Caenorhabditis elegans: one gene and its partner. The protein of the gene in region 1 interacts with the protein of each later gene in a pairwise test. Each region holds a gene or a part of one and is shown in the gene's direction. Other genes may lie near its edges.

Region 1 (4,968 bases):
GCACATAATCAGCACAGAAATCATCAGCAACCCGGTCATAAATAACATTGAAATTGGAGCCAGGCGGCTTGTCCCTGAAAGTTTTAATTTTGAAATTGATTCTACAAGTAAAATTCTAAAATACTAACAATACAAAAGCTGTTGATTGTCCTCGACGTTCAAACGAATATAAATGTAGAAATAGAAGATGGTGGATGTGACTAGATGAATCGCCTGAAATTTGCGTTAACCCTACGAATTTTCAAGGTTTTTGTGAAAAAACTACTCGGGAAGTATTGAGAAATCAGAAAACTTCTGAATTTGTTCCAAACAAGATCATTTATTTTTCCATTACTCAACTAATTTTCAATTACCCCGTGGTGTCAGAATGTCCAATTTCGGTGTGATCTACAAAAAATGCGGGAATTTTTCGAATAGAAATATGTGACGTCAGCATGATCCTAACCATACAAAATCAGTTGAGAAGTGTGATTTTAAAATTTTGCATTTTTTGCAGATTACACCAGAGTGTGACACCTCGTGAATTACCCCCAAAATTCCGCAGTAACAGAACCATCGCTTGCTCTCAGGCTCGATCGTTACGAAGAATACACCATAGATGATCTGTATAAATGTTTTTTTAATTGAATTTTTTAAATCTCTTCTCACCGCAAAAAGGTTGAACGAAAGGAATAAGCCGAAATTGTCGAAACGCTCGACTTTGCGATCTCCGAAGATTGCGCAGAATGCATCAATCAGAAAAAGCATCGTCTTCCAGAGATACAGGCACATGTAGCCGACACTGATCATTGAATATTGATTCTGAAAATTTCAGACTGTGAACAATTTACGGGCTTCGCCCGCAACATTTTGATTTTGGAGAGCAATGCCTACATGCCTGCCTACCGCCTATTTTCCTCATTTTGGTGAGAGCTCAGTTATTTTTCACAAAAGCTCTGATGATTGTGGACAATTTTGAAAGCTCGTCGACTTTGACAGCGAGAATCGCTTTGTGCAGCGGAGCGCGTTTGCATAACTCCATTTTTCTGTCCGCGGCCGAGATTCACACACAGCCACTCTTCCATTTTTGCAAGCGTGAAACCCTGGAACCTATAGCTCACCTCAAAAGTAATGCCAAGTTTGAATAGAAAATTTTCGATGCCATCATTTATTTATTAGTGAATAAACTTGATGTTTTGAAAAATTATAAATTTTGCTTATAAATGTTAATTACCATAATAACTCAAAGGCTGATCAAAGGTGTACTGAGATTTTTCAAAAAGAACTAAACATTTGCAACAAAACTACCAAAAAATATTTGAGAAAAAAGTTAATTTTCCCTTTAGAAAACTATATTTCAACTCTTGAAAATTGAGAAATTTGTCTAAAACCCGTAAATTTCGCGTCTGGGTAACAAAAAATGTTCAAAAAATTTATTTATTGAATCCCGTGAACATTCATTTTTTTATTTAGTTTTTTTTCTAAATAAAAACTGCCGTGTAATCAATTTTCGTCATTCCTTCGTTCGGTCACGGTCGCAAAATGTCGCGAATTGTGGATGGCATCGAAAATTTTCTATTCAAACTTGGCATTACTTTTGAGGAAAAGTAACGAAAAGGACGTGCGCCCATCAACTATTTACTTAAGCAATAACTAAAACTAGATGCGACACGTACAGGATGGCTCAACAGGTAAGATAATGGTTCATAGACTCAACGACAAGCGACGGACAAGTTCAACTCCCCTCAATGGCAACAAAAGTTCTTCGAGTTATCACAAAACAGTTCTAGAATAGTCGATGAATGCATTTTTAATATTTAGAGACAAATTCGCAATATTTTGAGACAAAATCGCAATATTCTGAGACGAAATCTCAATCTTCGGAGATGAAATCTCAATCTTCGGAGACTAGTTCGCAGTCTTTTGAGACAAATTAGTAATATTTTGAGATAAAACGGAAGTCTTCCTAGAAATTTTCACACTTTCGCAATATTTTGAGATGAAATTGTAATCTTTTGAGACAAAATTGAAATCTATTCGAAATTTTTAGTAATCGTATATGGACGCACTATTTCTCGTTTTTACTACAAAAATATTGCTATTTAATATTTTCATATTAGATTTGAGTTGCCTGAGTAGTTGTTTTTACTTTTTATATCAGCGCTTTTATTTTTGAACCAAAATCAAAAATCTTTTTTTCTCCTCCTTTCCCCCAATTAGCTTTACAATTGATACCTAATTTCAAAGTATGAAATCGATTTTAAACCCACAAAAACCGAAGGAAATCATTTTTCAGTGGTAAAATTTTCCAACGCTCAAGAGAAACGCGCAAGCCCCCTTGTTGGGTCATTTCCACGTGAGGAGGCTGTGGGTCTGGGAAATAGAAAAAAGAAGTTTCAGCCATATTTTATCATATGGCCGCGAAAAAAAGAAAAACTCGGTCACCAATGGAATCCCGATTCTTCGTTTCTCACTTTCAGACATTGGTGTTTTCATTTTCAGATATTCAGACACGATAAAACGTTTACAGCAATAAAATGGGATGCGAATTGAAGGGAAATGGGAGAAAAGTGGTATATCGGCGTCAACTTCTACTTTCACAATTCAATCGCCTTTTCACTTTTTCTTTCGCTCGGGTTTTCTTACTTTTCAGAGTAAAAGCAGTAGATATCATGGGATTAACTATCTTTATTGATATTCATCTTTTTTTTTAATTTTGTATATTTTTCGCGATTTTAATCCATTGAAATCCTTTAGTTACGGTAGACAATACAAGTTGCGTATTGTGTGCCCATTGCTTTCGAATTTTCTTGATTTTTCTTCTGTTATAATATTTACTTTTATTAATTTTTGTAAATTATAACAATTTTTGGGACAAATCCCGCCGAAAAAGTGAAAATAGGCACTAAAATGCCTAAATTTCGATAAAAATGAATCTTGTTTCGTAATTCCGTGCAATTGACACAAATACGAGCTTTTGCCTTATCAGTTATTTGAAAAACGAGTCTATTTAAAACTTTGTACCGTCCGGCGGGAACTTTCAATTTCAGTCGACCGACCATCTGATAGACGTTATCAAGACAACCACGTGCTGCTCGTTTTCTTACTGATTAGGGCAGAAAAGCCACATTTTTTGTATGTTTACCAAAAAAAAGTGTTTGAAAATAATAATTTGTAATCATCAAATTATATATTCTTGGATCCAGCGAAAATATTTTCCGTTTTTTCTTTCGGGCTATTTTTACGATATATTCGCTAAAACACTAAAGTTAGTTCAATGTTTGATTTCTTGACGTTGTCTATAGTTTTATGACATAAAAATTCTTTAAAAAAAGTACTTTAAGAATTAAAAAATAACGATTTTGTTTCATTTGGCGCAAAAAGTGACCAAATGACTGAATTTCTCGGAGAAACTGCTCAAAATTAAAAAAAGAGCTATTTTTATCTATAATCTCTTGGCCAACCGGAAATTAATTTTTAAAATTTAATTACCACCCAATTTTGCACAGTTTGGTTGTTAATTGCGTGTTTTTCGTTTTTTAAAATACATTTTCGGTTTTTTTGGCTTACCTATCGACCGAAAATATACATAAATCAACAAAAAAAAGCATGTAATGAAACCAGGTCATTTTTTGAAATTTTGATCATTTTTGAGCAGTTTCTCTATGAAATCATGTCATTTGGACACATTTTAAATCGATTTAATAGTCGTTACTCCATGTTTAAGGCATTCTGAAAACATTTTGATATACAGAATTCATCGATGTCATTTTTCCGGCAGTTGTTATCTTGAAAATCGGTAATTCAGGCACTTGTCGAAATCACGAAAATTCGAGATCAAAGTTTCTTAAACCTAAAATATTTAGATCCAACTTCGAAATAGATCTAGGATTGAAAATCTCTGGAAGTCTCTGGAAATCGGTAATCACATTGTTGGTGGGCGGCAAACGATTTTTCCGGCAAGTTGGCAAATTGCCGAAATTGAGATTTCCAGAAAATTGCCGTAATTTAAAATTTCCGGCAAAGCGGGAAATTGCCGATTTGTCAACAAAAAATTTGCCGGACGGCAATTGCCGCCCACTCCTGCCTTGTACCTCCAGCCGACATCCAACTGAAATCTTTTTGACCTGTCCTTTCCCTCCTTGTTTCATTTAAAAGAACGGCGGTTTCACCCAATATAGTTGCCAATAAAGTGTCTAATTCCCACTAGAACAACTCTCGCTGTAACTGTACTGATCACAAGGGAACTCGTTTTCTCCCCGTTTCCTCATCACTTCATTATTCTCGAGGCGACCTTCTCGAAATGATGTGTATGTTTCATTCAAATATATAAAGAAAAGGGACAGTTTACAGCGTCGTATCGTGTCCTCTGATTTTCTCGGTGTTTCTCCTCTGAAACCCCATTACTCATTTAGAGGCAAAAGCCGACATGTTACACTGTTGTAGAGGAGGACAGGTCTCTCTTGTTGTTCGAGAATCACACTTCCCATGGCAGATGTTTGGGTGTAGTTCTTTTTCGGTTCGATTTTTGAGAGCTTTAAAGTGATCCCTCTGAAAATTCAAGTGGTTGCGATCTAGTTGAAGCTGAGAAGTTCAGGTTTTTAAAAATTGAAATTTTCGACTTTTCTCAGTTAACAGACCATAGTTTTCAATCCGACTTCAAGTGTTCTATTCAATGTGTCACAAGTGTTCTAATATAAGTTTGACATTTGTAGGCATTGCAAAACAAATGTTCCTTCTTCAGCCCCGTATCAATATGTGACCTTTCGTCGTTCCATCGATAAAAAACTATTTTTAATTTCAAAAATAGTAACTAAACCGGTTGATAATTTTAAGTAATCGACACACAATTTATCACCTCTAGTCGTTAGTCTCGCTAGAATTCACCTAAAAGTGTACTCAAATCACATGTTTCGACGAAAAATGAGATACAGTAGGAGATGAATTCCTAGAAAGTTTCGAAATCGGTGAAATTTGGAAATTCGCTTT
Region 2 (3,508 bases), on another chromosome or scaffold:
TCAAAGTTTGGTAAATCTACTAATTTCCTATTCCATTCTATTTTAAAATGTGCTCCAATATTAGGCCTGAAAACGTACTTTTTCTGCTTAAACTCGGTGGTTATGAAAGTTTTTGCAATGCTGTTTTTAAATTCAGAAAGAACACGAAATTTGCAATAAAATGGCTACAGGGATTTTCAAAAAGGGATTTTCAAAAAAATTAGTTTGTAGCCAGATATTAATTTTCAAAGTTTGGTAAATCTACTAATTTCCTATACCATTATATTTCAAAATGTGCTCCAATATTAGGCCTGAAAACGTACTTTTTCTGCTTAAACTCGGTGGTTATGAAAGATTTTGCAATGCTGTTTTTAAATTCAGAAAGAACACGAAATTTGCAATAAAATGGCTACAGGGATTTTCAAAAAGGGATTTTCAAAAAAATTAGTTTGTAGCCAGATATTAATTTTCAAAGTTTGGTAAATCTACTAATTTCCTATACCATTATATTTTAAAATGTGCTCCAATATTAGGCCTGAAAACGTACTTTTTCTGCTTAAACTCGGTGGTTATGAAAGTTTTTGCAATGCTGTTTTTAAATTCAGAAAGAACACGAAATTTGCAATAAAATGGCTACAGGGATTTTCAAAAAGGGATTTTCAAAAAAATTAGTTTGTAGCCAGATATTAATTTTCAAAGTTTGGTAAATCTACTAATTTCCTATTCCATTCTATTTTAAAATGTGCTCCAAAATAAGGCCTGAAAACGTTTTTTTTCTGCTTAAACTCGGTGGTTATGAAAGTTTTTGCAATGCTGTTTTTAAATTCAGAAAGAACACGAAATTTGCAATAAAATGGCTACAGGGATTTTCCAAAAAGTTAGTTTGAAGCCAGATATTAATTTTCAAAGCTTGGTAAATCTACTAATTTCCCATTCCATTCTATTTTAAAATGTGCTCCAAAATAAGGCCTGAAAACGTTTTTTTTCTGCTTAAACTCGGTGGTTATGAAAGTTTTTGCAATGCTGTTTTTAAATTCAGAAAGAACACGAAATTTGCAATAAAATGGCTACAGGGATTTTCCAAAAAGATAGTTTGAAGCCAGATATTAATTTTCAAAGCTTGGTAAATCTACTAATTTCCCATTCCATTCTATTTTAAAATGTGCTCCAAAATTAGGCCTGAAAACGTACTTTTTCTGCTTAAACTCGGTGGTTATGAAAGTTTTTGCAATGCTGTTTTTAAATTCTGAAAACAAAGTTCTGTGCTGGTGTCAATGGTGATGAATCTTACGCATTCTGCTCTCCATGGATCAGTTTTGCCACTCAAACCAACAAAACTTGCTACAATTTCTGTGTTCATAACTGTGCTGCTGTCTATGATGGTTCCTGCACAACTGATAAAGACTTCAGATGCTGCTTGAAAACCACACCAGCTAAAAAACAAGATAAGCGGTTGCAACAAACTCTACAATAATCTTTAAATTTGTATGTGTTTCTCAGTCGTTTACACATTCATTCAATAAAAATTGTTTGCAAAACAAAATGTGTTGATATAAAACGAAAGGACTCTATGAAAACTCTTTTACGGAAACTTTAAAAACGGTAATAGCACCCACATTTAAAATGCGATCACAAATATGTGTAAAATTTGTTGAGCAGCTTCTTCATAATAGTGGTGCAGTATCTGATAGTCCTGAACTGACTTTTTGCCAACCCAGCAATAATTGTGAAAACGTCAGCAATTCTGTAGTTTTTTAATATTTTAAACAAACTAGTGTTTGTAAAATCCAATTCCGATCGCTGCGATTATATTAAATCAAATGTATTTGTGATAAAGTCACTTCATAATTCAATTCAAACCAAACAGGTATTTTTCAAATGACCGAATGGTATCTAACTAGTTCACAATGTCTATAAAAAGTGGTCTCCGTTATCGGTGTGTTCATCGAAACAGTCTTTGCTGTCCATCGCACTGTTATCGATTTTATTACATTTATGAAATGCACCTCCGTTCTTTGTTCTTCGTTTTTTTCTCTTTTTTTTTAGCCAATTCTCTACTGATTTTAATATTTCCAGAGATGGCGTATTTCATGACTGATGTTACCAAGGAAAATCGCCAAGATGAATGCAGATTTTCGCCGAACAAAGAAGCTACCGAAGAAGATCTTTTGCGAATTGGAGTCGAATGCACAAAAGTAATATTTGAGGCATTTCTCAAACAATGATTTTCCTTTCAGGTCAACTTTGATGACGAACATGTTCAAGAGGACTTGGATCGTCTTATCAAGAAATATGACATGAATTTTCACGACGAAGTTCATATTTGTCGTGCCACCATGCCGAATTTCGATGAAAAAGTAAACAATTTGAAAGTCAATAACAGAAATAAACATTTGCATTTTCAGCTTGACATCTTCTTTGAAGAACATCTTCACGATGATGCGGAACTTCGTGTAATTAAGCATGGCGTTGGGTTCTTTGACGTCAGAACAAAAGACGTGAGTTTTATTGAAAAAAAAAGTTTTTGAAAAAGTGTTAATGCAGTTCGATGGCAAATGTTGAAAAATTTATGATCTCCAATTTTCATGATGATATCTGAAAAATTACGGAAGTTATTAGAAACATTCCAAATGTTCAAATCGTTAAAAAAAAACTTCCTTTTTCAAAGAAAAACAAAAAAAAAAAAAGAAAAACAGGAAGCTTGGATCCGCATCCCAGTTCGTCGAGGAGACTTTGTTTTTCTTCCCGCAGGAATCTACCATCGCTTCACTACCGATCCTTCGGTGAGTTTTTGTATACTAATTTTATTGGAACTATAGTGAAGAAATATTAATTTTCAGGAAGACGTCGTTGCTCTGAGACTTTTCCGAAATAATCCCAAGTGGACTGCATTCAACCGCAAAGCTGATGGAGATGAGCAACGAGTTCGCCAGCAATATTTGAACGATATTTCTGCTTAATTACAACGTCTAGTCAATTTCCGTGGTTTGCATATTTCTGTATTTGATGCAATAAACAGTCCATTTGTGTCAACGAAATAGTAAAGTTGAAAAGCAAAAACTACTGTTAATGTTGTGATTCGCGTTACCATATTGAAAAAAGGTTTTTTGTGCCCTGATATGGAGCTGGTCAATGTCGCTTAAAAATTATATACTTATTCAATATCTTCATTTGAAAATCTGTGTTTTGTGTCTCATCTGTAAATGTCTTGTTTGTTGTTTTCAGCAGAGATGTTCCTATTCAACTTTCAGTTTTAGATACTGTTAAAAACTTATGTCATTTAAAAAAAGTTATTTGAAAATTATTTGCAATTTTAGAAACTTTTCATCACACGGTAAACTTGAAGCATTAGAAATTAGATGCCGATGCCGATCAACGGAATGTGAGGTGAGTAAAACTATAAAAATTACAACAAAACAAATAATTGTAAATTAATAGATGTACGGAATTAGGGCACGACGCGTTGGTGGGTATTTCGGGAACTTCTCCTTGTACCAACTGAAAATTTATATATTGATGTTCGGGGACA

The links.
Region 2: the proteins of F53E4.1 (region 1) and F42F12.4 interact in a two-hybrid assay, tested with the Caenorhabditis elegans proteins (one large-scale study listed by BioGRID).

The regions. Positions count from the first base shown.
Region 1 is NC_003283.11:15,664,991-15,669,958, reverse strand, and holds the start of F53E4.1 (Kelch domain-containing protein 3), read left to right. Parts: upstream 1-1,658; coding exon 1,659-1,670; intron 1,671-4,968. Other genes in the region: K06B4.4 (Conserved plasma membrane protein), read right to left, coding at 1-74, 129-213, 529-603, 649-789.
Region 2 is NC_003284.9:12,351,495-12,355,002, reverse strand, and holds F42F12.4 (Acireductone dioxygenase), read left to right. Parts: upstream 1-2,055; 5' UTR 2,056-2,057; coding exon 2,058-2,174; intron 2,175-2,216; coding exon 2,217-2,336; intron 2,337-2,384; coding exon 2,385-2,477; intron 2,478-2,675; coding exon 2,676-2,762; intron 2,763-2,819; coding exon 2,820-2,939; 3' UTR 2,940-3,008; downstream 3,009-3,508. Other genes in the region: srdf-2.2 (3-oxo-5alpha-steroid 4-dehydrogenase (NADP(+))), read right to left, coding at 3,411-3,477.